Canis lupus familiaris: one gene and its partner. The protein of the gene in region 2 purifies or fractionates together with the protein of the main gene of each other region. This does not show direct contact. Links are inferred from orthologs where the notes say so. Each region holds a gene or a part of one and is shown on either strand. Other genes may lie near its edges.

Region 1 (16,630 bases), on a different chromosome or scaffold from region 2:
CAAACTACCTAGCCACAGTTTTTTCCTAATTCAAAAGCATTCCACATAGTTATCTGCAGCAATAAACCATGAAGCTGCAGTCAAATCTGTAATAGACAAAAACGATTTTTAAATGAATATTGTATTTCCCTTGGTCCCATACACAGGTCATCAACTGGGTATTTCCTAAAATAAGTATCATAAACAGTAAGAAAATATCTTATGTCTTACATCCAAGAAAACCCTAAAACATTTTCATTAGAATTTTTTTAAATGAAGTCACCTTAATTTGTGTTCTCTATTTTTTTTTTTCCCCCAGATACACTGAAATCTCAGACTTGAACGTAAGGTCCATGAAGACTGGGTCTCTGTTCTGTACTGTATCCCCAGCAACTATAAAAATCCCCTGGCAAAACAAGTAGTGAATAAATATTATACTGTACAAATAAACAGAGTACTACTTTCTGGAAAATAAAATGAGTCAATTCTATTCAAGGTTTTAAAAATACTAGACAGAGACGCCTGGGTGGCTCAGCGGTTGAGCGTCTGCCTTCAGCTCAGGGCGTGATCCCTGTCCAGGGATCAAGTTCCGCATCGGGTTCCCTGCAAGGAGCCTGTTTCTCCCTCTGCCTATGTCTCTCTGCCTCTGTCTCTCTCATAAATAAATAAAATTTTGAAAAAACAAATAAATAAAAACACTAAACCTATCTTGTTACAATGTTTCACTAACATTAATTATGAAATATGGATTCTGAGATTAATAATGTATCATGAATACATGATCAGACTCTAGACGAAAAATCACCAAAATTTAGATATAGTAGTGTGTAGTCCATTCAAAAAAAAAAATACACACACAAAAAATTTTCCCATTCTAGGGGCTTTAAGTCATAGATAAAAGAAGCTACCAATAGGCAGGAACCATATCTTATTTCTTCTGTACCACTTTCAAATAACGTAGTTGTATTCTGATCAGACAGTTAAATACTCATCCATTACTTTCACATGGAAAAGCACCAAGTCAAGTCAAAACTTCTATTCTCTTCATTCCTTTGGAAGCCTTTTGGAGACAGAGGGTCTAGTTTTTGTTATTGATGGTGTACTTTGACTTTTGTAAAAGCTAGAAGATAGTACGCTGAACTAAAACCAGCTAAGTGAGTGACCTTGAGCAAATCACTTGACTTCTCCAAGACAGTCTAATCGCCTGCATTTTAGCATCAACAGACAGAATGACCTCCAAAGCTCCTCTGGGCTCTAAAACTATGTGACATTATGATCAATTTCACTTCTTCTACTCTATGGTAAGATGGCAGACAATTCAATCCTAAATTTTCACAGCTTTATTAACATTCTGCATAAAGTTATTGTAAACATTTTAGAAGTGATTTTTCAGACCTTTTGATGCACAGACTACTCACTCTGACCTAACCAATCCCAGTAACAGTCTTGAAAACATGAGGGAGAGAACAAATAAATTGTCTTTTCACAGAAACAGAACATTTTGTGACTATCTTCCACTGTGTAACCTTCTAAAAAAAAAAAAAAAAAAAGATGTACACACACCTAAAACACTACATTAAAGAGAACATTTCCACTCGAGGCTAAACATGAAGGATGCCTGCTACTTAACATCTTTATTAACACAGAAGTGGATCGGGATATCCCAGCGGTTTAGTGCCTGCCTTCCGCCCAGTGTGTGATCCTGGAGTTCCGGGATCGAGTCCCACGCACATCAGATTCCCCTGCAAGGAGCCTGCTTCTCCTTCTGCCTATGTCTCTGCCTCTCTCTCTCTCTGTGTGTGTCTCTCATGAATAAATAAAATATTTAAAAATTTTAAAAAGTATAATAGAAGTGGATCCATATTTTAAGAGTTTAGATAACTTTTTAAAATCTAGATAAGTAGGATGGAAGGAAATAAAAGGAAAATTGATAGTTGGGGAAAAACAGAAATAAATGTTTTCAGCACCACTTAAATATCTAAAACTCATTAGCTTAGAATCAAAATATTCATTTTGAATATTCATTTTGTGTCACTATGTCATAACATGAGGAAATGATCACAATAATATTAACAGAAATACAGGATATAAGTGTGTAAAATTATACACACAAAACATAAAAAGAAATACGTCAAGCTTTATTATTTCTAGATGGTAACCTTGAGTAATTTTTGCTTTACACCTCTCCATCCTTTTTTCAATTCTCTATTGAAAATTTTATAATCAAAAAGGACTTTCAAACATGTATGCATATTAGCTTAATTTGTTCATAAAGCTTTTTATTTGGAAAGTGCTGAGGGAAAAACTGAAAATATTAAACACACACACACACACACACATCTTCTGAGGACTTTATTATTGAAGTTTTTGGCAGTGGAAACAGAACTCAGAAAACAAGACTAAGTGATTCATCTCTCCCAATGTTGTAAGAGTAAATTTGGTTTTATAGAGAAAACAACTAAACAGGAAACAAAGATACTCTATACCTTTAAAGGTATGGCAGTCATTCCAAGTCACATCAGATTAAGTACTAAAGCAAATACATATAAATGGATATATATGTGTGGATGGATATATATGGAAGTACAGTTACAAAAGAAAAGTTGTCAAAATGTAGGCCCTAAGAAACATATCAAATTACAAGCTAAGTATATTAAAGTCCTCTCATGTTAACAATTTTTTAATTAACATCTCTATTTTTAAAAATGGGAACTGAATTCTTAAAAGCTAATATACTCAAAAAAAAAAAAAGCTAATATACTCAAACTCATTCATTTAAACCTGAATTTTGAAAATAGTACAAAATGTTCATCATTACTCTAGTTATAGAGAACATTCTAAATGCCAGTGAAAAGCAGCCAAGCAAACTATGGGGATATTAATTAGTCATCAAAAATATCTAAGTGGATGTTTTTTCCATAAAAATTTAAGACACTGATCTACATTACTCTCATAAAAGTGAAATCATAAAGTTGAACATATTTTCACAAATTATGAAGTTCAATCTTGTTTAAGCAACAAATTTATTATGAAGAACAAAATCATACTCAAGAGTTTATTATAAAGAATACAAGGAGTCTCAACGACAGGAAATGAAGTATATAGCTGGCCTTAAAACGAGGCTGCAGCGTGCCTGGGTGGCTCAGCTGAGCATCCAACTCTTGGTTCCAGCTCAGGTCATGATCCCATGGGTCGCTCAAGTCTGCTTGAGATTCTCTCACTCTGCCCCTCCATCCACTCACACACATGCTCTCTTATAAATACATCTTAACAACAACAACATCAACAACAAAAAAGATAAGAGACTGCATTCAAGAGAAACTGATTCCTGGGACCACAAGATCTCTGGTCAGCTTTCTCCCCCTCTTCTCTCTCACCTCATTGCTTCTGCTTACACATGGCACAAATCAGCCGACTTTAAAGATCTAAAGCCAATCCTTTAAAGATCTAAAGCCAATCGTCTATCTAACAATACGTTTAAAGGGCTGGCATCAAAATTCTGGCTGGTCAGCCATCAGTTTATATATTGGCTAGCCTTGGGTTACACTGAACTAACTGACACTGGGAGAAGAGGGACCCTAAAAATGTATCTGCAGGAGCCATTCTCAGAGAAATAAATACCCCCAAACAAATCTACCCCACTTCTCACAAGAGACCATCAACTGATGTCAATAATAAGAGTTCAAAGAAACGACATATTTAATATAGTTACAATTTGTAATTACAGGACAGCTATAAATTACATGGTTTTCTATTTGTCTTTATATAACTTGATTTGTGAACTGTTACCAGAAGGTTGCAAACATTAGACTTGTTTTCTATTTACCTTCCTGTAATACGCATTATTAAAAAAAAAAAAAAAGACCTCAAACTGTAAAAGACTTAATTAGCTAAAAATAAAAAGAGGTAACACAGGAAGAACAAATGAAAACTTTGATCTAATCTTCCAAAGGTATCAAGACTAATAAAGTAATTTTAAGTTTTCCTCTCTCATAAAAAGCAATGCATGTTCACCGTGAAGTCCAGGAAAACACAGAAAAGTAAAAATATAAAAACAAAGAGAGTTGAATCCTAAAGTAGAGCTAATCATTAACATCTTCTTTCCAATTTTTTTCTTGCACATATTACCAGAAATAGGCTCATATTTATGTAATTTTTCAATGGAGAAATAAGGCTGTTCCCATCCATCAGCATCACTAAAACTGGGACTACCAGACACTACCTATACCTGGTGCAACAGAATTCTACCCCCTGAAGGTATTTTTACCAATATAAATATTGAAACCTAAGCCTAATCAAGCCTTCAAATCTAAATTCAAATTTATAGGAAACACATTTCAGACACATCTAGAATATGAGACATTCTACTGAATGACCTGATCTTCTCAACAATAGTATGACCAAAAAAAAAAGGGGGGGGGGGGGAGGCAGTGTTTAAAATTAAGACTTGGATACATGACAACCAAATGGCATGCACAGAAGACTGAACAGCAAAAACAGAATTAGGGAAATTTTATTTTATTTATTTTTTAGGGAAATTTTAATAGATTAGATATTTGATGATATTGAATGGTTATTTTTGGTTTAAGATGACATCACAATTATGTAAAGAAAATGTCCTTTTATTAGAAAAGAAAACTCAAGTTTTAGGTTCAAATGTTTGATATCCAGAATCTATTTTAAAACACCACAGCAAACATACAAAAAATAAACATGATAAAATGCTAATAATCATTAAAGGATATGAAATTATTAAAGTATAAAGTTTCATTACAATGTTTTTATGGATGTTTGAAAGCTTTCATTAAAAGTTTTAATCTTTTGGGCAGCCCGGGTGGCTCACCGGGTTAGCGCCGCCTTCAGCCCAGGGCCTGATCCTGGAGACCCGGAATCGAGTCCCACATCAGGCTCTCTGCATGGAGCCTGCTTTTCCCTCTGCCTGTGTCTCTGCCTCTCTCTCTCTCTGTATGTCTCTCATGATAAATTAAATCTTAAAAAAAGTTTTAAGCTTTTTATCTAGTAATTTGAGTCACATTTCAATTATAATAAACAAGTTTTTGCAAATAATAGCTCCCCTCTTACTTTCAAACTTTCTTTTTTAAGATTTTATTTATTTATTCATGAGAGACAGAGACAGGTAGAGATATAGGCAGAGGGAGAAGCAGGCTCCCTGTGGGGAACCTGATGTGCGGGACTCATCCTGGAACCCTGGGATCACACTCTGAGCTGAACAGACACTCAACCACTGAGCCACCCAGGTGTCCCTAAACTTCTTTTAAAACTTTTCAAGGCTGAAATAAGATCCATCCTATATTAAAATTTATCACCTCCACCCCTGGAAGGCAGCTGAGACTTCACTGTATAATCCCTCTAGGTTAAGATCCAAAAGCCCAAGAAAGGAAGGTCAAGAAGTGCCTCTTAGAAAATAAAAAGGTGTTTGCTAATGACTCTCTTCACAGAACATCTCTGCATGGTGAAAGAATGTCTTATTTAAAGGAAATTAAAGGATAACTAATATGGTAGACCAACAACAAAATTACCAAAACTTAACAATCACAAAATACCAAACTTCAAAAACCAATCAAGTTTTCCCAATTCCTTTACACGTATTTGTCCACTTCATAGAAATATCGTGTTTTCTTCTTTTTCTCAGCTGACAAACATACTCAAAACCTCTGGGCCAGAACAACATCCAGGAAATCACCTAGTCCTGCCTCATAGTTCACAAATGAAAAGGATGAAGCACAAAGATTGAAAAAAAAAAAAAAAAAAAAAATTGGGATCCCTGGGTGGCGCAGCGGTTTGGCGCCTGCCTTTGGCCCAGAGCGCGATCCTGGAAACCCGGGATCGAATCCCACATCGGGCTCCCAGTGCATGGAGCCTGCTTCTCCCTCTGCCTATGTCTCTGCCTTTCTCTCTCTCTCTGTGACTATCATAAATAAAAAATTTAAAAAAAAATTATCTATGGGTTAGTCCTATCCCTTTTAACAAAATGTCCTCTTTTCTGAAACTATAAAATTTTGAAAACACAACTACCTGCAAAGGCAGATGAAAAAGCCTACCGAAAAGAGATCCAAGATGAAAAACATGAAATTACAGGAGTAATCATCAGAGTCCTATTAACGCAATCAATGTTTATTGGACAATCATCCATGCCAGATCTTGTTACCATGGACATAAAAATAAAATAAACAAGTATATCCTCAAGTAGTTAACGCTACAGTTTGGGAGAGAAAAAATATATTAACATAAAACTCTGTAATGTGGTTAAATGCAGATATTACAGATAAGCACAAGCTTCAACACTGGCCTGAAAAAGGAAGGCGGTGACCAACTTGGACGGCAAGAATCAAGGACTTCACAAAAGGAAAGGATTCTTGAACTGGAGACTGCTTGACAGATATGAGGGAGAACAATATTCGGGACAGAGCATGTGCAAAGCCTTGCAACAGCTTGAAGTGTTGGGGAAAATGGTTTCATGTAACCAAAGCTATGTGTAGAAGGGAATGGAGAGGCAGGCATTGGGTTTTGGACTTTTTCATCTACATACTGGGGAAATGTGCCAGCAGGTTCGATAACCCAAGGGAGCAATAGCATTGAAGTTTGCATTTACAAAGGATAGTTCTTAGCAGCAGTGTGGAAGAGAGGCTGAAGAGAGAGGGACACTAGTGAAAAGCAGGCCTGTCTACAGACTTGTAGTAGAAAAAAGGCAAGCGATAATGACCTAAAATAATTACCCAAAGCCCACCCAGATCCCTCCCTAAGTAATACATCCATATAACCAAAATCTACTAGTTACTTTGCATTAATCTCTTTAAAGGACCTAAACACATTTAACACACCAGATGAGACCAGGACCCTCCTCCTATCGCTCTCCCACACGCCCCCAAGTAAAACACACGTGGTCCTCATTCAAATAAATACCAGTGTTTCTTTTTTTAGCACAGCCCAGGACACCATCATTCCTCCAGTTACATACGCCAGAAATCTCAAAGACATCCAACACACCTCTACTCTGCAGGAGCGTTATCCAATATAGACCACCAAGTCTCACTGGCTTGACCCTCTAACTTTTCACCATCTCCAATACCTCAGACCAAGTTGTCACCTCTTGCCTGAACTAAAAAAACTGCCTAATCTCTATCTTCTAATATTACTTCATGTTGTTACCAGAATTATGGAAATTGTTTTAGTACAAATTTGAGTTATCACTACATTCCCCCCACTCTACCATTCCCCCCACTTATAATCCCTGTGAGATAAAAACAAAATTCCTTAGTCAACCTAGAAACCAGCACCACACTCATGAGATTACTTTAACATTAAATGTTTCAGGTTCCCTCCTGCCACAGGATCTTTGTAAATACATGCAGCGCCTACTGCAGTTTTCTTTCCTTTTCACCTAGGAAACTTCTCATTCTTAGAAAATCTTAGTCCAATTGTGTCTTCCCTGAGCAGATCAAAGTCCTCAATTTTATGTTTTCATAGCCCTACACACCTCTTCAGAGCTACAGTTCCTTTTGCTGATTACCTGACTGGTGTCTCTCTCTCCGACTGGGACTGCTGCATGAAAAACAAAGATAGTGTTTTATTCAAAACTGTACTTCTAACACTTACTCAATACTTCTACATTGCAGAAATTCAAATCTTTATTGTATAATTAAATGAATTAAAATGAATAAATTTAAAAGCAGAGTTGTTTTAAAGGAGACAGATTCAAAAATTATCTCTGGGATGTAGAAATACAGATTTTAATTAGCAGATATACAGAGTATTTCTAATATAAATAATCACGATGCCACCAAAAAATTAAAAATATGGAAGACAAGTAAGCTTGGGTTATAAAAAAAAAAAAAATCCATCTGGGATATACCAAGTTTGAAATGTCTGAGTCAAGGGGTGCTTGGGTGGCTCAGTCGGTTTAGTATCTGACTCTTAATTTTGGCTCAGGTCATCATCTCAGGGTTGTGAGACCAAACCTCATGTGGGGTTTCTAGCCTGTTTAAGACTCTCTCTCCCCTTCTGTCCCATACTCCCCCAAAAACTGAGTCAAAATTCAAATCCAGATAGTCAGCAAGCAATTCTAAAACTGACTCTGTAAAGTCTTAATTAAAATACAAATTTGAGTGTGAACCAACAGGTGCAAAGATAGAGCAAGAGAAGGTGAAGCCATCAAAAACCAGGAGACTGAAGAAGCAAAGTTCACAGAGATAAAAAACCAAATCAGAATCTCAGAAATATTAGCAATTAAGAAAAAGCCCATAAATGAGACAATAAAGAGAGCAAAAAAGAAAATTAGAAGACAATTACATAGAAGTCAAAAGAATTGTTTTTAAAAAGAGGAACTGTTAATAATGTAAAGTGCCACAGAGATATGAATTGGAAATGATCAATGCGATCAGCAAGCAATAAGCAGTGAGGACAGAATACTACAGGGGACAAGAGGTGAGAAACTAAACTAAACAGTGCACACGGACAATTTTTCCAATAAGTCTGACTGCAAAAGAAATGAGGGGCAGGGAGGGACATATACCAGAAGGAGTTGGGAGTCAAGTACTTTGTTTATTTGCTTTTACAATGAAAGACTTATGTGTACTTGTATGTTTAAAGGAAGAAGCCGGTGGTTGAAAACATGAGAGGGAAAATATCTGAGGGAACATGGTCTAAGTATGAGTCATGAGGGATTTTACCTTAACCAACAAAAACAGCAGAACAAACAAGCTTGGATAGGAGAAGGGTTTTTCTTTCTTGGGGGCGGGGGGGGGGGGGGAGTGGAGTATAGATGTGTAAAGATGCAACAGGTGTTAAAAGAGAAGACAGCACATCATGGAAGACCGTAAATACCACACTAAAAAAAAAATATATATATATATATATATATATTTATCTATTTTTGATCCAATAGATTTGGATCCAGTGGGCAATCAAGAGCTACTTGAGAGCTTTTAAGGAATGGAGTAATAAGATGTCATCTGTGGCCCAGAGAAGGGGGAAATCACCCTAGGGATCCGATGAAGCCACTGTGAAATAAGAGCTGATCTGAAAGACCTAAAAATATGCCAAATATCTACCAAGAGTAGAAGAACTCTACATCCTCACTTGTACTTCTCAGTATTATGTTGCTATTCAAAGATGTTCTGGCTGACATCACAGGTTTCTTGGTTCCTCAGAGAGCTTAATTTTCTTTATTCGCTTGATTTTGTTATGGGCCACCTTTAACAGAATGGTTCTGGTCTATTTTCCTTTCTCTGATTACTAGGAGGAAGAATACATTCACATTTTATTTTAGCATTTTCTAAATTTCCTTCTTCCAACTTTTCTCCAAAACCACTAGTAGGCAGGAAAAATATAATATAATACAATGGAAAAAAATGCTGTAATAGTAAAACTATAACAGCACAAAGAAACCATCTCTCAGATATAATATCAAATTTCACATCTGAATTCTAGGTCAAATTACTGACAGTGTTTAAACAAAATTTGGTAATACCTACCTCTTTTTCTTTACTAATCCGACAAAAGAGCTACCTTAGAATTCATTACACCATTATAAAAGCACCTTCATAGGTTAACAACTGTATAAAACAAAATTTTTAATAAAATAGAGATATTAGAAAAATGTATTAAACTGGTATATGTTTCTCCATAATTGTGCAAAGTGCTGATAATTCCTATCAAGATGATTGCTATGCATATGACAGAAAAATTCACCACCTATTCTCAAAATGATTAAACGAGTCACTATTGGAGAAACGATCTCCGTCAAGTGTAGAGTTCAAAAGAATTCAAATAAGCCTACAAAAAAGATAAAGAATTTAGCAAACTATCCTTTAACACACTTAACTAAAAACTACAGATGATTTAGGGCAAGTCAGAATGAAATGACTATATATCATCATCAAACTAAGGATAAGGAGACTGTGGATTCTAAATAAGTCTCCTCACTTAGTGTTGAACTGTGCTTTGGAATATGGAGAGGTTTCCATCAAAGCAAATTATTTACCTTTGACTAGAAAAAGAACATTAGGAAGAAGGGAATCAAATGACATCAAAGGTCATCTCTCCTAATTCACCCTACCCCTCCTATTCCCCAATCCTCCCCATTATCCCACCCTGGAACAGAAAAGCACAGTTCAAACCACTAAGTATAAGCCACACATTCTCGGGGATCCTTGGGTGACTCAGTGGTTTAGCACCTGCCTTTGGCCCGGGGCTGATCCTGGAGTCCCAGGATCGGGATCGAGTCCCACATCGGGCTCCTGCATGGAGCCTGCTTTAAGAGAGAAAATAAATAAATAAGCCACACATTCTCTTACATCAGTAGTTGAGTAAACAACCACTCCCTTGCCCATCCCTTTCCCCCCACCCCCCAAATGAAAATAAGCCTCTTCCAAGAAACCTGGGGGTTTCTTCATACCAGTCCTGCCTCTGTTAATAGCACCTATGTGCCTTTGGTCTCCCTCACAAGTCTGAGTTCTTCAAGGACAAAGAAAAAACCTAACACGTTTCACTGTTTTACTGGACGCTTTCTCTATTAAACTACAAACTGTACATCTTTTCCCACCTTGTTTAGTACTGAATCCCCAAATATAATCTGATAACTGTTGAATTACTTAGTTGAATACTCTTAATTAAATATAGGGATGGCACAAAGCTTTCAGTAAGTGTTCACTAAGTGGCCCAACCAAATATGTCTTCATAAACTTTTCAGTGAAATACATTTTTAAAAGTCAATTTTAAAAAGTGGTCACTGATATCCAAACTTTTAAAAATGGTCATTGTGAATTATTTTCATTCATAACACAAGAAAAACTTGTTCCATAATCATGACTAATAACTCTTCAGTAACTAAAATAATGTAATATATGAACGTTATTGTATGGGTTCTGAGTTGTTTCTTTAGCTTGCTTCTCCACTATTATTAGTCTCTTACTATGGCAACATGACAACTTCTCTAGGGAGAAAGCTTCAAATTCTGCGCACATTTTCTGGCCTAAAGCCGGTTGCAAAGGCTTCTAAAGTCCCTAAAGGTAATACACGCATGGACATCCACCAGTAGAGGAAATTTCCTCTGTAAACTCAGCCTGTCAAAAAGTAAAAGCAAAAATTCTTTTAACTTCTCAAAAGCACACACACCATTACAGAGGTTACAATAAATCCCTCCAGTCAAAAATAATCTAAGTAAGGTAATTTTCATGATTCCCCAAAGGTGCTTTTTCCTTTCAGCTAAAGCCATGTGAAACGCCACACACGTCAACTTGTTCCGGTAAGATACACTTAGTGCCCCTCAAATTATTGGAGTTGTCTTAAAACCAAATCCTTACTGAACAAGCAGCTCACATTCCCAATTCAAAGAAATCTGCAAATGTCCTAAAAAGCTTGCAAGATAAAGGACCTATCTACTACTCTCATAAATGCCAGGAAACAATATTTTAAAATCTCTAAAACTATTCAAAGCGTTGTCTATGGAAAGCTTTTGTTTTCCCTTTGGACTCAATCTCGTACAACAATAAAGGATTTAATTTGTTGTAAGCACTGGAATGGCTACACGCCTCGCAAACACCGCTCCCCTCAGAGCCGCTCAAACAAGATCGTGAATCTTCCAAAAGGCGATTCACTTTACGCGTTAAACCAAGACGGGAAGGAATCCGCTTTCCCTGTCGGAACTGCCCAGGCCTCCGGCATTCCTAAAAAGAAACCAGCCTAACTCTCTTCCCTGACGTACCCTGCACTCTGAACACCACCGGGGCCAAGAGCCGCCTCGGATTGCTCGGGGATCACCAAGTCGGACCGCTGGTTCACCACAGCATCGCTGCGAAGTGCACCCAGGGCGCTCCAGAGCCGACGGACACCTGAGCAGCCTCCCCGTAAACCAGAAACCTAAAGGCAGAGCCCCGCACCCTGGAGCTTCCGCAGCACAAGGGCTAAGCTGACAAGCAGAGCGAGAGCGCCCGGCAGGTGGGCCCGCGGGAAGGAGAGCCCAGATGCCGTCCCGGAGAACCAGGAAGGCGTCTACTCTTCACCTACTACTCTCCGCCCGCGGGCTGACGCACAGCTTTCCTGCCCGCACGCGCCTGGGTCTCGGCCAGCACAGCCGGGTCGGTCCTAACTGGAGGACTTCACGGGCTTCTCCGCCTCCCCGCAGCGCCTCGAACCCGACAGCCCCATCCCCTCCCAGCGACACGGTGGGCGGCAGCCCCTGTGCGGGGCGCGGGGTGCGGGGCGCGGGGCGCGGGGCGGCTCCACCCAGCCGCTGCTCCCGGACCCGCGTCCCGGGCCTCCCACCGCCGCTGACAGCCGGCGCCACCCCCGGGGCCCCCGCGCGCCCGCAGCGGACCCAGCGCAGGCTCAAGGGCCACCGCCCACCCGCCCCCTCCCAGACGACGCCCGACGGGCCGCGGGGGCCAAGGACGCAGCCCCGCGAGGCCAGCGGCGCGGGCAGCCCCCGGGAGGCGCCCCCGCGGGACCGCAAGATGGCGGCGGCGGCGGCGGCAGGGCCGGGCCCCTCCGCCTCGCCCCGGCCGGCGCGCGCAGGGAGACGCGAGCGGGCGCGGGCGGGCGCGGGCCGAGCGCGGGCCGGGCGCGGGGCCGGAGGCCGAGGGCCGGGGCGGGCGCCGCCGAGAATGGAGAGTGCGGGGCGTGGGGGAGGGGACGCTCCCTCGCGGCCGGCCGCCGACCTTCCCTCGACCCCCCAGCGGCCCCCAGTCTGGCCGCCCGCCCGCCCGCCCGCCCCACCCGGACAGCTGCCCTCCCCCTGCCTACCTTTGAATTTGAGGTCGGTGGGCGGGTCGAGGACCAGGATCTGCTCGTGCTTCGCCATGGCCCCGGAGGCGGACGCCATCGGAGAGACAGCGCAGAGCGGGGGCGCGCCCGCGGCGGCGGTTTGCTGGCTGGGGGCGGGGGGCGGCGGCGGCGGCGGCGGCGGCGGCGGCTCGGCCGAGCTCTACGATGGGGCCGGCTCACGGCGCCCGAACCCCCGACGCCTGCCGCTCTGTGGCCGGACCCCTGGGCCGCCCGCTGGGTCAGCAGCTCCGGGCCTCACAACTGACTCAACCCCACACCAGCCGCCGCGGCCACGCGCACTGCGATCCTCGGCACCCCACGTGACGGCCTCTGCGTGCTTACGTGCGCGCCCCGGCGGCCGGGGGCCCCTAGCGCCCGTCCCGCCCTCCAGTCCTGCCCTGCGCGGCGCCGGCCACTGCGCCTGCGCGCTCGGGGCCTCGCGGCCGCTCGGAGCTCGAACTGTCAAGGGAACGGGTGTGGATGGAGGGCGGAGCGAAGCCCCGTGGCAGCGACGCGGTGTGCACCGCGGGGCGGGAGGGCGCAATCCTCGCTCACGTTTAGTTCCGACGGCGAAGCTGGAGAACCGGCTGTTAGCAGCGCATTACTGTCTTCCAAGTGGGAACGCTTAAGAGAAGGAGAAAGTAGTCAGGCTCACTCACTACAACTCCCGGCATGCCCGTGGGGCCCGGTCTTTTTGCGGCACTGCGTGATGCTTGCCGGGAGTTGTAGTACTGGCTGTGGGTGGGCGGGAAGGGTGATGAGGTCCGTTGGAGGCGCTTGGGGTGGGCCGGCTGACAGCCGTTTTTGGCTCTCAGCGTCTCGTCTGCGCTGAAAAACAAAAAAATTAAAAAAAAAAAATTTAAAAAAAACTTTTGAAAACTGACCTGAGGTCCCCCGCCTAGAAATATAAAACCAAGATTTCTGAAATTTCTAAGTCCACCCATCCCTCTACATTCTCCGTCGTTTTCCAGCGGAACGTCTGCCGCTTCCTGAATTGCATCCAGCGATGCGGAGCCGACGGAGGAAGCTGCCCCGGGTCAGGAAGCCGCCGCCGTCGGGGAGCCCTGACGAAGCACCCTTACCCAGCTGCAAGTGGGGGTCCCCACCCACCCCGTTGGGTTGCGGGCGCCTGGTCTTCGGTTTTGTCAAGTGACGGGCCCAAGCCACGTTGTCGTGTTGGAAGCGAGTTCGGCGGATGGTCAAACTGAGCGAGGGAGGAAAGCCCCGGGAGCGAAGGTGTGACGGTGGATGTGCCGCGACTGAGCCTGAGGTGCGGCGGCCACCGGAGCCCCCAGGAGGCGCCGCAGAGGAGCGGCGGGGCAGCCGCGTTGGTCCGGAATGAGCGTGGGCACGAGGGCCGCCTCGACCCGCGCGCTCGGTGCAGCCGCGCCCGTGTGGGGTCAGGCCCTGAGGCGGCGCCCGCGGCGGACGCTACCTCCGACGGGCACGCAGCCTAAGCCGTGAGAGCCTCGTTCGAAAGTGCGTTCTAATTTCCCCTTTCCTCGGATTTCTTTTCTTTTTTTTTTTTTTTTTTTTCCCCTTGGATTTATTTTCGTTCACGAAATTTATCTTGAGATTTCAGTCATCGTCCAGGGACAATACCACAACTGGGCGTTTGTCAAGAGAGGCTGACGACCACCGCGTGGGACGGGGTCTCACACGCGATCAGCGTGAGGAGACGGCCCGTCGGCGGCCACAGACGCCGGGTTTCCGTGGGCAGATTCGCCTGGGCTGAACCGGCTGCTCCGCCGCCAGATGGACGTCGTCGCCCCGACCGACCGACCGGAGAGCGTCTGAGGATCCCGGGCCCGCGTGCTGCGGAAGTTCCCGCGCACTCCCCAGGCGCCGGCGGCTCGCGTTCGCCCTGAATTCCATGGGAAGGCTGAAGTGCATATGCTCCAGTTTTCCAGCCTGATGAAGCAGCCCGGGCCTATTTTTAAGCCATGACCTTTGAAATCGACTGTTTTTGTCTCCTCGAGGTGACTTCAGATATCATATAGTCTTAAACCTCTATGAGAATTTAAATATCTGGTCATCTGAGAATACCTGAAACATCTTTGGAATAATTCCTCTGTTCCTGTTTTAGAGCACTGCATTGATAATGATTCAGAGTTCTCCCGAATCATCGTATCCCTCATTGAACAGTTCACTATTGAAGAGGTTTCTGCTTTGGTATTTATTAACGTCTTCTAGCAGTTCAAAGAGCTTTACAGACATCGTCACACCCTTCTCAGAACTACCAAATAACAGCAAGTTGTACTTTTATTGTCAAATATGGGGATGAAAACACAGGTGAGAGCATCTCACGACAGTAACAGAGCTAAACTTGAGAAGGGGAGTTGCCCGATTTTCCATCCTGTGCATTTTTGTTTTTCCCAAAGCCCTAATGCAACGACAACTGAAAGTGATTAAGACAAATTAAAATGTAATTGGTCTGTGTGTTGTTTGACATTTAAGTTAGGAATGGAGAAAGGTGGAGCCTAATGTTTACTGTTTGCTCTTACGTTGATTAATGTAGCACATAAAGTTCTCTTAAAGTATTGGCAAATATATATACAGAATACATATATACATGTATATGCATACTCAATTATATGTATACTTATGTATATATTACATATATACAACTATACACATATGTATATACATATGTGTATACAATTATATATGTGTATACAATTATACATATGTATAATGTATACAATATGTATACTATATGTGTATACAATTATACATATGTATAATGTATACAATATGTATACTATATATGTATACAATTATACAGATATATATATACACACACACTCAAACATATTTCTCTAGCTACTAAGAAGTTTTTATGAGTCCAAGGAGTATGAAGTCCTTGAATATTACTTCAATCTACTTGAATCACTAGTGGTATTCACCTTTGGACAGATTATCTCCCAGGTTTGGCAAGGATAAAAAAAAAGGTACCAGTACAAATGGTAACAAAGTATAACCATCTTCTCCGTAGTTAAACATGTTAAACTTTACTTTATAAAAGTACTATGTAATTATGAATTTGTATGTGATCAGGCCTCTGTGTAATACAACTCAGTAAACATTTAAATGAGCATACTTGCAATAAACACTGAGGCTGTAAAGCATACAGAATAAGAGTACTGGCCTTGGGTCTGAACTGCTGGGTTTAAGTCCTGTTTACCATTGTATGGTCTTAGCAGCTTACTTCACCTCTCTATGCCTGCTCTATCTACATCTGTAAACTGGGGAGAATAATAATACCTACATCTGAGGTTTGTTGTGAGAATTAAATGAGTTAATGCACACGAAGAGCTTAGGGTAGTGCCTGGATCCAGCATTGTTACCTTATATATGCTAAATGTTAAATTATGACTGTGTGCCTGGCATCGTGGTAAGTGCTGGTGGTATAGTGGTGAGCCAATAGACATGGTCGCTGCTCCTGTAGGGCTATATTCAAGCAGAAGAGATAAACATGAAGCTTCTCCTTTGCAGCTATTATTCTGTTCTTAAAATAAGTTTGAGTAGTGAGATACACTCAGACGAGACTTAAAAGTTAGACATGAGACCAAGGCCAGCTTTCTGCAGCCTCTGGCTGTTTCTCTGCTGAGACAAACGCCCCAAGACTTGAAGTTTTCTGCATCAGCATTCCAGCTTCCATTTACTGACTTCCTGGATCTCAAGAGACCGTCAGTTGTTGCAGGTCAGCAGAAGCAGTGGCCCCCCTTCTTGGATCCAGCTTCCCAATCCCCGGGTCAGAGGCAAAAGATACAGCCTCAGAGGCAGCAGCTGCCCAGGTGGGGCAGTTCAGTCCTGCCCTGGAGTCATTCCTGGGGAGCCTAATCAAGAACCTGCTCCTCCACGTCCC
Region 2 (16,530 bases):
AGATTTTATTTATTTATTCATGAGAGACAGAGAGAGAGGCAGAAACATAGGCAGAGAGAGAAGCAGACTCCTCACAGGGAGCCCAATGTGGGACTTGATCCTGGAACCCCAGGGTCACACCATGAGCTGAAGGCAAGTGCTCAACCGCTAAGCCACCCAGGCGTTCCCCAGAATATCAACTTTTAAAAAAGATTTTATATATTTAATTTAGAGAAAGAGAGAGTGAGCAGGAGGAGGGACAAAGGGAGAGAGAATCTCCAGCAAAAAAAAACCCCTGCAGAACCTTTCATGAGGCTTGACCTCACGACCCCGAAATCATGACCCAAGCCAAAATCAAGAGTCCAAGTGCTTAACTGACTGAGCCACTCATCCAGGTGCCCCCAGAATATTAATTTTTAAAATTTTTATGTCACTTTGGGTTTAGCACTATATTTTGTTCTCTTTCTTAAAGGAAGATAGGTTAACTTTCTCCCCCAACACCCAACAACTGTCATTCATCTAATACTGAATAATACCGAGAAACTCTCAGAAGGGGAACAGAGTAAGAGATTTGGTATCTGTATATATTGTGAAGTGGTCACCACAATAAGTTTAGCATCTGTCATCATACATAGTTACAAAAAATTTTTCTTATGAGAACTTTTAAGATTTCTCTTAGGAACTTTCAAATATGTAATACAGTATTTTTAATGATATCAACTTAACACTATGCTGTTCAGTTACTATTTCTGATTTCACCAGTCACTCCTCGCCGTTATTTTCTGTATATCTAGGTGAATGCCTCTCCTATTGTAAATTTATGGTAATGCTTTTGGGATAAGAACGTGTTCACACACACCAAAAAAAAAACCAAAAAAACCCCCCAAAAAAACAAATTAAAAAAAAAGAAGAAATATGTGTTCACAGCAAACTTGAGGTTTCCAAACATATTGTACTCTAAATTTTCTTTGATTACTTTTACAAGAAGAAACCAGTCATTTTCCTTTGCCTTTTTGTAATGTACTTACAATTTAGAACAGTGGAAAGAGATTTCTTTCTTACTTTCCTTCTATTTTTGTTTGTTCTTTTTGTTAACAGTTTTACTGAAATATACTGCACATTTCATACAGTTTGCCCACTTGAAGTGTACAACTCAATGGTTTTCAGTATACTGATGAGATAGCTGTCTTACTAACCCACCCCTTCTGTTTATTTTTCTGTTTATTAGATGAATTTTTTTTATAGTAGATTCATTTCTTAGTCCTTTAGGGCTGCTATAACAAAATACTACAGACTTAAGTGGCTTATAAACCTTTCTCATAGTTCTGGAGCTTGGAAGTTTAAGATCATGGGGCTGGCATTGTTGGGTCAGGGCCCTCTTCCTATCATAGACTTCTTATTGCATTCTCACATGGCAGAACAAGGGTCAAGGAAGAGGTCTTGGGTCTCTCTGAGAAGGGCACTAACATCACTCCTTAGGGTTCTGCCCTCATGACCTGATCACCTCCCAAAGGCTCTGTTCCCTTAGGGGTTAGGATTTCAACATACGAATTTGCAGGGGACACATTTGGACCATAGCAGATTCATATATGTATTTTGTGCTTTATGCTTATGTTTTAGAAATTGACGATGATGTCGGTGACTATCTTGTGTTAATTCAAATAATCTCTTCAAATAATTTGGAAATAAAGATAAGCCTATTAATTAAAAATGTGCCAAATGTGATGAGCTGTTCACTAAATAGAATTATGGATGGTCAATAAACACGTGAAAAAGTGTATGATTCTTCTAGTAATGAATGAAATGGAAGTTTAAAAGCTCTCCAAAATGCTGATTTTTTTTTTAATCTAAATATGGGAACATAATCTTAAAAGTCAGAAGCATACTATAAGATGAACAAGAAAAACTATAGTTCTTTGCTTTCCCATCTGCCTTCTCAGGCAATCACTTTCAACTTTTGCTTGCTTCTTAGCAGTTTTTCTTTCCTTGAAGAGAAGGCTGATTTCATTTTCTCCCAGTTTGATAGGATATGGTTGCCTGTTGCTTAAGACCATATCTTCTAGGACTGTGAACTGGATCAAATGGTCTAGTGTTCTAGAACTCAGTAATATATAGAACGCCAAACTACTCCTAACCCAAACATTAATTTTTTTAACTTAAACGTTTTAGAGTTTTTTAAAAGAACTATTAAACTACTTCACTTGGAATCTTAATAAAATAGTTAATCTGGAACCAAATCATAACATCAAATTCTTTTCCAAAGCGTATCAGTATTTCATCATTTAGTTTCAAGTTCCTTATGTTTCTCCATCTCCAGTTGCAGCTTTTACATTTTTAAACAGGAAAAGTAATCTTTAGTTGTGACCTATTTAATGATACATGCACAAAATCTTTCTACCCTGACATTATTCTCATTGTGTATTTCACTGATTCTTAACCCAGCATCTAGTTCTCCTCAGAGCTCATGTTTTGATTTGTTTCCAGTGAATTTTTTTTTTAAGATTTTATTTATTTATTCATGAGAGTCACGGGGAGAGAGGCAGAGACCCAGGCAGAGGGAGAAGCAGGCTGTGTGCAGGGAGCCTGATGTGGGACTTGATCCTGGACTCCAGGATCATGCCCTGGGCCAAAGGCAGACACTCAACCGCTGAGCCACCCGGGTGTCCCTGTTTCCAATGAATTTTATTTTATTTTATTATTTTATTTTATTTTATTTTATTTTATTTTATTTTATTTTATTTTTATTTTTTTTAATTTTTATTTATTTTATTTATTTATGATAGTCATCAGAGAGAGAGAGAGAGGCAGAGACACAGGCAGAAGGAGAAGCAGGCTCCATGCACCGGGAGCCCGATGTGGGATTCGATCCTGGGTCTCCAGGATTGCGCCCTGGGCCAAAGGCAGGCGCCAAACAGCTGCGCCACCCAGGGATCTCTCCAATGAATTTTAAATAAAAATTCTCACTACAGTTTGTGTTTGAGTAATTTACCTTTCCTGTTAGTGAATTCTGGAGAGAAATCTTCCTCTGAAAGGATACTCTTTGTTTCCTTTTTGCATTATCTGGTATGCCTCTTCTGTATTAAGTGCCTGCCTCATTGAAGGTTTTATGTCATTATTAAATTCGTTCAATTTTTCAATAAGCTTTATTGCAAGGAAATTTGGCCTTCGTGTTTCCAATTCTTGAATGCCTTTTGAATTTTATTTATTTGGTTCTTTTTTTTTAAGGGGAGGGGCAAAGGGAAAGAGAGAGGATCTCACCACTCTGAGATTATGACCTGCGCCAAAATCAAGAGTCATGCACTTAACCAACTGAGCCACCCAGGCACATCTGGAATTCAGTTTTTTAGTAGCAAAAACTCCAAAGTGTGATGATGATTGAAATTTAGTTTGACAAGGGGGAATGTTTAAAAATTATGACTTTCTTTTTTGAATCATTACAGGTTTTTTGTTTTAAACAATGAAGCTGGGTTATTGGAGTACTTTGTGAATGAACAATCTAGAAATCAAAAACCCAGAGGTACTTTGCAGCTTGCAGGAGCTGTAATATCACCTAGTGATGAGGACTCCCACACCTTCACTGTAAATGCTGCCAGTGGGGAACAGTATAAACTTAGAGGTATGATCAAGATATGAGAATTAATAGTGTGATTTTCTTCTTCCCTTGAGTAGTTGATGTACTTTTCTGCTTTCATTTGAGTTTTGGTAACATACTGTCATTGATGATGTAGGTAAGATTCTAAATCGTAGAATTGCTTATGAGTTTATGAAATCTGTTTTAATAAATAAATTTTCTCAAGTGGCACAATAAACAAGTGTATTTACATTTGGCCCCTGCAAAATATTTGTGTAGACAAACCTGATTACTGAAAAATCTAAGAACATAGCTTTAAATTTTATTTTTTGTGTCTGCCACAGATTTGTATTTTACCTCTTTTCTTGATTTGTTTTGCATGCCCTCTTTTGAGGTTTCTAGTGACTAATTCACATCGTTGGGATTTATTAAAATCTGCATATTCATTTTTAAAATATAACTTTTGTTCAGGTAAATTTAACTTGTGTTTTTCATTTAATTAATGCATATAAAGTATAATGATAATCCTAACTGAGCATGTTGTAAGAGATCTGAAAATATTGAGTACACATCAAATGCTTAATAAAGATGATTTAAGTAACAACATATTTTTATGAGAAACTTAGGACATGTTAAGTCTCATATCCCTGTCTAGCTGCATATAATTTATCCTCCTTCTGAAATATCCATCCATATCCAGCTACTGTGTTACCTAACAAAGTTGGTGTTTGGGCCTTTTTCCTCCCTCCCTCCCTCCAGGGGGGACATTTGCTCTAGGGAGAGTAGGAACAATCTCTGGTTTTCAATTATCTGTTCTTCATGCTGTATACAATTGTATTTCAAAAATAAATATAAAAGTGAATAACTTTTAGGTTCTTTTTATCAGCCACAGATGCTAAAGAGCGACAACATTGGGTTAGCAGACTTCAGATATGTACACAACATCACACTGAAGCTATCGGAAAGGTATGTGGATTCCTATATGATATTAATGCATAAAAATGAGGGAAAGACTACTTATTATCTTTTTATATTTTTAAATTGCAAGACTATTCACATACCATAAAATTTACCCTATTAAGGTGTGTGGTTCCATTCGATTTATTTATTTATTTATTTATTTATTTATTTATTTATTTATTTATTTACATTCGTTTTAATATATTTACAAGATTGTGCAACCATTGCAACTGTCTAGTTCCAGAACATTTTCATCACCCTCCAGAAAACCCGTATCTATGTGCAGTCACTTACTATTTCCAAGCCTCTGGCAAACACCAATCCATTTTCTATTTCTATGGGTTGGTCCACTCTCAGCCTTTTATATAAATAGAATCATACAAAATGAGGTTTTACTTCTGGCTTCTTAGACTCCACATGATGTTTTTCAGAGTTAGAAGCAAATTTTATTATATGTCCAATTTTACTTGTTCTTTAGTCTTTTATGTACACATAGTATTTTCAGGGTTCATTCATGTCATTGCATGGATCATTTTATTCTTTCTTATGGCTAAATAATATATTGTATGAATACACCACATGTTTATTCATTTATCAGTCAGACATTTGAGTTGTTTCCATTTTGTGGCTATTATGAATAACATTTATGTCTAGGTTTTTGTGTGAACACATGATTTCACTGAGGTGTGTATTTAGGAGTGGAACTACTGAGCCATATATGGTGGTTCTCTGTTTAACTTTTTGAGGAGCCACCAAACTGTCTTCCAGAGTAGCTGTCCTGTTTCACATTCCTATTTGCAATGTATGAGGGTTCAGTTTTCCCACATCCTCACCAGTACTTGTTACTGCCCCGCCACTTTTTTTTAACTGTAATAGGCATCCTGTGTATGTAAAATGGAATCTCACTGTTGTTTTGATTTCATTTCCCTAATGACTAATAATGTTGGACATCTTTCTCTATGCTTACTGATCACTTGTATATCTTTTTTGGAATGTTTTTTCTTTTTTAAGGTGGAAAGGATGGTCTGAGTACTTGAAATCTGAGTTAGAGATATCTAAAAACCATCCAAGAGGTATAGTTCAAGAGTTCCATACCTCTGTGATAGCTTGACTTTAAAAAATGATGTTTTTTCCTGTTTTTTTTTTCTCCATAAGTAAATTTTAAAAAGTTGTTTGTGATTTAGGCCTACTGCCCAGTCTTCAGGAAATTCATAACAAAAGTTTTACTCCTACTGCAGGATTGTAGTCATTGGCAGTGATCAAAGGGTACTAGTTGTTCCAAAGATACTTGCATGTTACATTAGAAAATGTATTATACTGCATATTTTTGCTTCAATTATGGTGTTTAAAAACCTGAAATTAGAAATGTCTTATTCTAATATTTGTAAAATGTGAGAAAATATTCTCAACAGCACAAACCCATAATCAATTTTCTAAATAAATTTACAACTTTACTGTTGGATGTGTCAAATGTTTAAACTTTGAGTGTTTTAAATTTTAGCATTTTTTTCAGGAATGTTCTTGTAGTCAGTTCTGAGGTGAATTTAATTTTTAAAACTGTTCATGGTGTAGACCTAAAGTATATATGTAATATGTGAGGCTTAGCCTAAATTTTTTGAAAACAAATTATTTTCTTTGTCTAATAGAATAATCCTCCTCTGAAATCACGAAGCTTCTCACTTGCATCTAGTGGTAATTCTCCTATATCCCAGAGGAGACCAAGTCAAAATGCCATTTCTTTTTTTAATGTTGGACATTCCAAACTACAATCAGTGAACAAAAGAGCTCACTTACCTCCAGACCATCTTGTGGAAGTCAGAGAAGTGAGTATGAATTAAAGTCAAATTAAAATGCACAAAATTGTCTAACTTGCTTGGTTCTGTCACAAAAGAATTTGAAATCTTATTTGTGTCTTCTAGGGCCCTCAGAGAACTGCATGAAAACTTAATAGTAGCATTTTCTGAAATTAGAAATTAGATGCAGTGTGGAATCTAATATATAATCCATGAATTTTTTTTTCATGAACTTTTCATATTCTGTTGCATGGAAATCTATTGATTTGTCTTACAATTAGAAAGTATCTTTAATCTATGCATCATTTTATGACTCTACACATTAGTCATTTGGAAAATATCATTTCACAGAGTTATGCAGGTCTTGGAGATATTGATCTGTTTTATCATACTGTATCAAAAGTTCCCATTCATTAACGTCTTCACCAATCTCTTTAGAGAAGGCTTTCAGTATTGGGAAGTTGTCCAGCTATGGGACTCCAGGATCACGCCCTGGGCCAAAGGCAGGCGCTAAACCACTGAGCCACCCGGGGATCCCTTATTTTTTATTTTAAAGCTCAGGTTACCCGGGATCGAATCCCACGTCGGGCTCCCGGTGCATGGAGCCTGCTTCTCCCTCTACCTATGTCTCTGCTTCTCTCTCTCTCTCTCTCTCTCTCTCTGACTATCATAAATAAATAAAAATAAAATAAAAAAAAATAAAGCTCAGATTTTATAATTGGCAATAAATACTGTTGTCTTTTTTTGTTTGTTTTGAAGTGATAGGTTTGTTTTATTTAATTTTTAGGAAATGCCAAGTTTGAATATCTTTAGTTTCTAACAGTCATTCTATAATGCAAAACACTCCTGTGTTTCTCCTCTGCTTTGCTATAACACTGTACGCTTCTGTATTCTTATTCTGGTCATCAAATGTATGGAGTTTTCCCACCGCAAAGCAATTCTCTAATTCTCTGTGGACAACAGCTGTGCATCCTACAATTTAATTCAATTTGGCACTATCTACATAAAATAGTGTTGGATCCCACAAGACTGCCCCCCTTTTAGACACCAGCTGCAAGTTCAGGTTGTCACCTGTGCCTTTGACCAACCTGGTATAAATTAACTCAGGAACAGGCCAATGTAAGAGGAGATGCATAGGGCCAGATAAGGGGGAAAGGCATGGAGCTTCCATGTGCTTTCTAGTCTACTACCCTCCCAGTACCTCCAAATGTTCACCAACCAGAAGCTTCTGAACTTTCTCTTTTTTTTTTTTTTTTTTTTTTTTTAATGGAGGCTTCATGAGGTAGGCACAATTGACTGAATCATCAGCTATTGGTGATTAATTCATCCTCCAGCCCCTTTCTCCTCCCTAGAGGTTGGCAGATGGGGCTAAACACATATATACATATCTGTTGGTTATATACCTAAGAGTATAATTGTTCAATTGTAGATTATAATTATTTAACCCTGTATATTTAACTCTGCTAAATACTGTCTAACTGTTGGCGAGAGTGGTTTTACTATTCGTAAGTTTGGATTACTGAAAGTTAGTCCTAACATTTATATACAAAACATTTTATATACACAAAGCACACATATATATGCATGTATAAATATGTACATATAGTTATCTTCATATCCACACTTTTCATTTAAAAACCTTTTCTCTGGTAAGGGTGAATGTTCGATCCATTGCTATGACCTGTATTCAGGGGCTCTTTAATGTATGACACACTTGATTTGTTGGGTAGGATAATTGCATCTTTCTTTCACTAGCCCTTTGATGAATCGTATTAAAAATTGCCTGGGGATCCCTGGGTGGCGCAGCAGTTTAGCGCCTGCCTTTGGCCCATGGCGCGATCCTGGAGACCCGGGATCAAATCCCACGTCAGGCTCCCAGTGCATGGAGCCTGCTTCTCCCTCTGCCTATGTCTCTGCCTCTCTCTCTCTCTCTCTCTCTCTCTCTCTCTCTCTCTCTCTGTGACTATCATAAATAAATAAAAATTAAAAAAAAATTGGAACAGTGCCTCGGAAAGCTAAAAGTCTCTTCATTATAGTTTCTATGTGAATTAAAATAGTGGCTTAAAAGATAGGCAGTCTGAGACTGTTCTGCTCACAATTGAGTATTTAAGCATAATAAATTCAATAAAGTAATTAAGCACAATAAATTCAGGTTTCATTTTAAAATTTTGGGTTGCTTATCAAGCATTGTTATTCTGTTGGCTCTCTTAGGAAAAGTGAACAGAACTCTTGATCAAAGCAGGATGTATTAAACTCTTTTAACCTGAAAAGCTTATATCCAGTACTTGCTACAAAATCAGACTAATGGGACCAGAAAGTTAGATTAGAGAAAAGGAAGCAGGAGAACCATCATGTTCTCAGTGTAGGTTCAAATTGAGCCTGACCAGAGGTGCTGAGAAGAAAGAGGTTAAGAGCCCATACTGGGGACTAATTTTACTTTGTAATGAAATATTTAATGTTGCTGTTGAAGATGATCTTGGATGTTCTTTAATGACTTGTACAAATGTATACTGTTAAAAGATTTGTCAAGGCTTTTGAGCTTTGTTGCTTCCAAAGAAAAAGTGCAGCTGCCAAAGACACCATCTTTTGCACAATTGATAAGCACTACTAAATAGTGCTCATTAATTGAGAATAGCCAAACATAAAATAGATTTCTAAGCCTAATATATCCTAAAAATGGTTCAGAAGCTAATAGGGTAATGAGAATGAAAACTATGTATGCATGATACACAGAAATCATGAGTGGGATACATGGAACTGTTGTTTTCCTTAGATGATGTCTCATGCTGAAGGACAACAGAGAGACTTAATTAGGCGAATTGAATGCCTTCCTGCTTCTGGCCATCTTAGTTCCTTGGACCAGGATCTCTTAATGCTCAAAGCTACTTCCATGGCAACTATGAACTGCTTAAACGACTGCTTTCATATTCTCCAGTTGCAGCATGCATCACATCAGAAGGGCTCATTGTCTTCCGGTAAGTTGCAGATTAAAAGCAGGACTTAATATTAAGGGCCAAAGCATGGAAAGGTTGTGTCTGTTGTAATTCTAACTCCTAAAAAATCTTAATAATAATAATAATAATAATAATAATAATAATAATAATAATAATATAAAAGAAAACCAGTGAGCTTCTTGATTTTTAATTACATAAATGTTAAACTCTTATTTTGTCCTTTTTTGAATCTAAAATGATTTTAGGCCCAATGTTTAATATAATTGAATATCCCTTTGGGGACCTCAACTTCACATGTTGAAAACTCAGCTTAAAACCTACATCTCCTACATTTCTGCTAAAATTGGTGGCATTGTTATTCATCCAGTCGACCTTAGTAGAAATATTGGAACCAGTTCTTATGGTTTAGTCCACTGTTCACTATATGCACTTTAAGCTAGAGATACTAAAGTCGATCAGTCACTTTTCAGTTTGAAAAATACGGTGTACATACAGTATTTGAGAGCACTGACTTGTTGAAATTAATCCATCAAGGAAAATAGTGCCATTGTATGGGAGGACAAAAAATGAGTTTTTCTATTTAATGAGATAAGTAAACTCATCACATTTTTCATTTTGAGATATAATTGACCTACAACTCTGTAAGTTTAAGATGTATAGCATATTGATTTGATACATACACATGTTGCAATATGATTACCACCAATATGATGATCACATAATTATCACTTTTTTTGTGGTGAGAACATTGAGGATCTAGTCTTTTAGCAGCTTTGAAGTACTTAACACAGTATTGTTGACTGTAATCACTATGATGTGCATTAGATTCCCAGAATTTATTCATCTTCTAGTTGTAACTTTGCACCCTCTAACATCTCGATTCTCCCATTCCCATCGCTTTGTTTTAACAGTAGTAACTTACTAGTTCATACCAATTCATTGTCCTCTTACTCAACTAACCCCGCTTGTGAAGAAAGTTAATTTAGAAAGATACTGAGTGTCTGCCCAGGAAGAAGTTTGCCATAGTCCGATCTATTTTTTTTTTTTTAAGATTTTGTTTATTAGAGAGAGAGAGACAGAGAGAACATGTATATGCAAGCTGGAGGAAAAGCAGAAGGGGAGGGAAAAGGATGAGGAAAAAATCCCAAGCAGAGTGTGTGCTGAGTGGGGAGCGCAGCATAGGGCTTGATCTCATGACCCTGAAATCATGACCTGAGCTGAAACTAAGAGTGTGAGTCACCTACACACCCCCTACCATAGTCCAGTCTTGATGTGGATATAATATGGCTTCTGTCCTCATGTATGCCTACCTAAATCAATATTTCAAGCTAACTATGTTTAATGGCTAGTAAGCCATGCATGTTTCCCGTAAGGAACTCATGGTCCACTTGGGAATGAACATATAAACTTAACTGTAATATGGAAAGTACTGTTTACAATGGGAACAAAATACTTTGGGAGAATATATGAATGGACCAATACTTCTGACAAAAAAAGTCTGGAAAAAGGCCTAGAAAAGCTCCAAAAGCCAGTGGAGAGAGAGGAGAGTGTGCTTGGAAGAGATAGACTGGCATAAGTTGTGAGTTGTGAACGTGGACCAGGGCCTTGGAGGAATTGTAGGTAGTATATAAATTTTCTCCCATTATAAAGCAGCACACACTTGAGATGCCTGGGTGACTCAGTCTGATAAGCATCCAAATCTTGATCTCAGCTCAGGTCTTGATCTCAGGGTTGTGAGTTCAAATCCTGCGTAAAAAAAAAAATAAAGCAACATATGCTATTATAAAAAACTGAGGACCTATTATACAGTTGAACAAAAAAAGAAATCATGCATTATCCTACTAACCAGAAACTGCCACTGTTAATATTAGTACATACCCCACCAGATTTTCTTTCCTTCCTAGTTTTTGTTTTAACCCCATTTATTATTAGAAAATATGTTTTTATCTTATACTTTTCATGTAATATCAAGAATATTTTCCAACTTCTGTTATGCTTTTGGTAAACACAGTTTTTATTGGCTACATTATATTCCGTTGAAGGGATAGGTCTTTGGTTTACTTGACTGTTCTCCTGTTGAACATTGGATGAGTTACCTTGAACTTTGAGATTTGGGTTAATTCTGGTGTTTGTAATAATAATGTTGTCAGGTAAATGAAAGTTTGATTTTAGTTAATGCTACTTAATTTTTACAAAGCACATCAAGTAGCGCAGTGTTAAATACTACATACTTAATACTTGGTTAATTAAATATATATAATTCTTCTAATTCTTAAAATTTCATTTGTGGAGTTAGAATACACAGTTGTATCTTTAAATGATTGTATTTTTAAATGATTGGCTGCATGCTTAGTGAAGCATATACAAGCATGTATAAATTTGTATTTTTTCAAATTAAAAAATGGTACAGACTATAAACTACAGACGTGTTTAAAGTAAAAGCTGTTTTTCCTCATTACTATGTTTTAGGGCATAGATTTATGGGTATTTGGTGGAATTGATTAGCTAGTATTGGTATTTCTTACTATAAATAGTCATTTTCCAAATTAGGTCTGTAGAAATGTATTTTTCAGTCATTTGAGAATAAAAATATAACTAGAAAAGGAAACTGAATTACCTTTCACTCAAATTTTGAAGTGACACAAGAAATGAAATCTAAATTTAAATTAGTTTTTAGTCCTATGAGTTCTCTTAATGTATGTTATCCAAAGGATCATTGATTTAGAGGGATCATGAGACCAGATGATTGGTTTGATAAAGAGTATTTTACTTTTAGAAATAAAGAGATGTGGGGGCACCTGGTTAAGCATCTGTCTTCAGCTCAGGACGTGATCCCATGGTCCCCGGAGCCCCGAGTCCGGCTCCCACTCCACAACTACTCTCTCTGCTCTCTTCCTCTCTCAAGTAAATAAATAAAATCTTTTTAAAAAATAGAAGTAAAGACATCTAGATTTTGATATTAAGAATGAACATTTTAAGGTAGGAACAAAATGTTTTCATTTCTATGGAATTTTGAAACTGGCCTCTTGAACTTACTCAGGGCATTCCCTGAGAAGTTGGCCTGAGTGGCGAGGCAGGATGCTCTGGTAGTCTGGTGGGTACTTAGTAATTTATCACTATACTGAAGTCTGGCATTTCATTATAGATTGAGTGAATGACCTACTCTTTGTAATTTCTGCTGTAGTAGTCTGAGCATCCCTTATTGTAGCACTCTAATAACCAGGCTTCTGTGAAACCTAGATCAGCCTCTGAAATCAAATGGAACATTTTCCATTATTGATTAGGCATAGAATCCACTTTGTTAAACTAGTTGAGGGTAATAAGAGACATTTGAGTCATTAACTGAGAAGATGACAGGTCTCTAAATGTGACCACTGTCTTTCACTAGGTCACCTATAATTTATTCAGTAGAAAAAAGCCTTTCAGTTTAAAAGTATCTGCACCTCTTTACATGATTAAAAAACAAGAATGGACATGTATTCCTAATGTAAAGTACTTATATTAGGCCAAAATGGCTATTTTGAATGGTTAGAAAATTGCTACTGAAAATAAGGTTCAATTCCAAAAATGAAGAAATTTTTACTGTTTCAAAATCCCAGGCTCCTCCTGTAATTGTGTGGCTCCCTAAAGCCTAATTGCATACTTTTTGATCATTAGGAAGAAGGACCGTGTTTTTACAGAAAAGGTAGCAAATCAACTATTAGGGTGGGAATACATTATCATTTACAGATTTCCCAAGAAGAAGGTCATTTCCATTTAGGGTTGATTCTTTTAAAAGGTATCTGATTTCAAGTCGCAATTTGCTCTGTTGTAACATACCCAATCATGATGCTCATGCTAATGAGATACAAGTGGCTGTTTTGCAGAGTCTCTTAACAGGTTGAATTGCTTTTAGTCTTGTGGGCTCAAAACAAAATTGTTTAATAAAATCCACATCTGCTGAACTTTCCAGATTATGAGCAAGTTTCAGCGAAAGTTTTCTCTTACTTCATCAGGAACGACAATCGAGTGGTTAGAACCAAAGATACCTTTATCAAACCACTATAAAAATGGAGCTGATCAGCCTTTTGCAACTGAGCAAAGTAAACCAGTGGCAGTCCCAGAAGAGCAGTGTGTTGAAGAATCTGGACCATTAGCAAGGGTAAGGTAATGTGAAAATACAGTTTTGATGTAAAAATTAGGAATCACTAAGGAGGTTCAGTTCTCTTTTCATTGTCAGGGCATGCAAGTCATTCTAACACCAGAGCAACATTCTTGCAGACTCTAGATATTGTTTTTCTAATTTAAGTAGCAGTGGCTTTAGAAGAGGTCTGTTGTATAATACTTGCATGTTTTGTGTTTTTCAGGTTAAATTATGTGCCTTTTGTAGTTTGGGCTCACTTTTGCTTGATAAAACTGTATTGAAAAGTTGCAATTTGCATATTTTTATTTTTCTAGAGAATAACGTATCTAATAAGATTTGCAATATAAGATTTGTAATTATTTGCAGGATAAGAAATATATTTATCTTAAATCTTAATGTAACATTACTTATTTGATGTTTACTATTAAATTTGCAAGTTTAAAAATTTACTATTAAGTCTTTTTTGTTGTAAGCACTTTACCAAACCAGTTTAAGTTACTCTACTTAAAATAGCATAGTCTCAGGGTTTTATGTTTTTATAAGTATTATTTATTCCACATTTCTCAGATGCTAAAGCATTTTTTATTCTAGTCATAGTTCCACCACTGTAAAAAAATCATATTGGTTTTTTGCCTATTGTGTTATCTTTATGGTTATCATAATTACGTAGTTTTATTTTAAGCTCTTTTTATTTGAAACTTCTCATAAGCATTTTTTCTGGCCTATATAATTAAAATTTTACAGGTTGAAATAAGCTATTAAATATCTAGGCTCTTTGTTATTTTTTGTTATTATAAATAACACTGTATCATCTTGTCTATTTTTTTTTTCCTCTTTATTTGGGTTATATCTTGAGGTTATAGTCCCAAGTAGAATTACTGAGTCAAGAATAACACACAGCTTATGATTATTTATATATTTGCAAATTACTTCTTCAAAGAAGTACATGGGGCCACCTGGGTGGCTTATTCGGTTAAACATCCCAACTCTTGATTTCATCTCAGGTCATGATCTCAGGGTCCTGGGAGCAAGCCTGGATCTGTGCTCTGGCTCTGTGCTCTGCAGGGAGTTGGCTTGAGATTCTCTCTCTTCCTCTGCCCCTCCCCCCCATATAAATAAAGAAATCTTAGAAAGAGAGAGAGAGAGAGAGAGAAAGAAAAGAAAAGAAAGAAAGAAAGAAAAAGAAAGAAAGAAAGAAAAGAAAAGAAAAGAAAGAAAAGAAAAAAATACACGATGCACGATACAGAGACTTCCAAAATTGGCCAAAACCTTGGTTTAATGAGGCAGGCAATGGCAGCAGTGTAGATGGGAGAGAAGAAAAAAACAGTAGGAAATGCTTTTTTTTCCCTCCTGTAACTTTTTGACCAGCTCATTTCTAGTCAAGTAGCTAGTATTTATTAAGCTATTTAGTGTATGACAGACAAGTCCAATGTTAGGTATTAGAGGAGACGTAAAAAATCAAAGACATAGTTCTTTCACTGAAGAGACTTATAATCTGCTTGGAGTCACAATAACATATAGACCAAAACAATGAGAGGATAAACATGAAGCAGCATTTTGCTTTCCATCTTAATTGCTATGGCTTAGGGTGTTAGGATATGGGCATTCTGAGAAAGAAAGAGAGGTGTATTCAGTAGAGTGGATAAGGAATGCTTTGGAGAGGAAATGGAATTGGAATCAGGCTTTGAAAGAAGACAGGATTTAAAGAGAAAAGAGGAGTAGTAGGATACTCTCAGGATGGATGAATACCAGAGCAGGGATACTAAAGCATATATGCTTATTGTGGTGAAAGCTTGCTTGATGGTTTGTTTTTTTTTTAAGATTTTATTTATTTATTCATGAAAGACACACAGAGAGAGGCAGAGACACAGGCAGAAGGAGAAGCAGGCTCCATGCAGGGAGCCCGATGTGGGACTTGATCCCCGCACCCAGGATCACGCCCTAGGCCAAAGACAGGTGCTCAACCACTGAGCCACCCAGGCATCCCATTGCTTGATTATTTAAAAAAAAATTTTTTTTTTAAAAATTTAAAAAATTTTTTTATTCATTTATGATAGTCACACACACACACAGAGAGAGAGAGAGGCAGAGGGAGAAGCTGGCTCCATGCACCGGGAGCCCGACGTGGGATTTGATCCCAGGTCTCCAGGATCGCGCCCTGGGCCAAAGGCAGGCGCCAAACCGCTGCGCCACCCAGGGATCCCCCATTGCTTGATTATTTTAAACCCAGATCCTGTCATTTACTGACATGTGGACCAATAATTAACCACTTAGCTTCAATTTTCTCATTTGTAAAGTGGAGATAGTAATATCTTATAAAGATTGTTATGAACATAAAATGAATTTAGCAGAGCACCTGGTTTATGGAAAGTGATCACAGGATGGTTAGATTTTACAAATCCAGATAACCATTTGTGCTGCATTCTCTGGGGATTGATAATCCCTGGAGCCAGTGCTCCATAAAATATAGTGTAAACTGTGTCTCGAAAGAACATAAAAATCATACAGAAGAATTTAGTATTAATGTAATAGATGATAAAATCATGAGCATGGGATATGTTTAAGATTGATATATATGATACGACCTAGAATTAAAGTGTTGATAGAAGGCTGTGGAGGTAGAAATGAAGACAAATGAATAGGTAATACGCATTTCAAATGAAAATCAGTTGGACTTGTGATTGAATACCTGTTGGGTTAGATGAAAGATAACTCCCACGTTTGTGAGCTTAAACAACTATAGGTAGAATTGGGGTGCTATTCACAAAGTTAGGAAAATTAGGAAGACAGAGTCTTTTTTTTTTAAGATTTTATTTATTCATGAGAGAGAGAGAGGCAGAGACCCAGAGAGAGAAGCAGGCTCCGTGCAGCACCCTGAGCCAAAGGCAGATGCTCAACCGCTGAACCACCTGAGTGTCCCAAAAGAGTCTTTTCAGAGGAAAAGTTTGGTATGGTTTATGAACTTGTTGAATTTTTATTTTTTTTTTATTTTATTTTTTTTTTTTAAAGATTTTATTTATTTATTCATGAGAGACACACAGAGAGAGAAAGAGAGGCAGAGACACAGGCAGAGGGAGAAGCAGGCTCCATGCGGGGAGCCCGACGTGGGACTCGATCCCGGGTCTCCAGGATCATGCCCTGGGCTGAAGA

What was found.
Region 1: the proteins of OSBPL11 (region 2) and VAPA purify together in Homo sapiens (co-immunoprecipitation; 4 studies listed by BioGRID and IntAct, counting the BioPlex papers as one, with this or other methods). This does not show direct contact. The link is inferred for Canis lupus familiaris from reciprocal best matches to the Homo sapiens genes OSBPL11 and VAPA.

Annotation. Positions count from the first base shown.
Region 1 is NC_049228.1:75,926,997-75,943,626, reverse strand, and holds the start of VAPA (vesicle-associated membrane protein-associated protein A), read right to left. Parts: upstream 9,143-16,630; 5' UTR 9,128-9,142; coding exon 9,051-9,127; intron 7,543-9,050; coding exon 7,511-7,542; intron 437-7,510; exon of another isoform or gene 299-436; intron 1-298. Other genes in the region: homeobox protein engrailed-2-like, read left to right, coding at 12,798-13,391. UniProt on the Homo sapiens protein: Endoplasmic reticulum (ER)-anchored protein that mediates the formation of contact sites between the ER and endosomes via interaction with FFAT motif-containing proteins such as STARD3 or WDR44.
Region 2 is NC_049254.1:29,232,288-29,248,817, reverse strand, and holds part of OSBPL11 (oxysterol-binding protein-related protein 11), read left to right. Parts: intron 1-3,419; coding exon 3,420-3,595; intron 3,596-4,436; coding exon 4,437-4,516; intron 4,517-6,156; coding exon 6,157-6,333; intron 6,334-9,076; coding exon 9,077-9,278; intron 9,279-13,252; coding exon 13,253-13,398; intron 13,399-16,530. UniProt on the Homo sapiens protein: Plays a role in regulating ADIPOQ and FABP4 levels in differentiating adipocytes and is also involved in regulation of adipocyte triglyceride storage. Weakly binds 25-hydroxycholesterol. Interacts with OSBPL9 to function as lipid transfer proteins.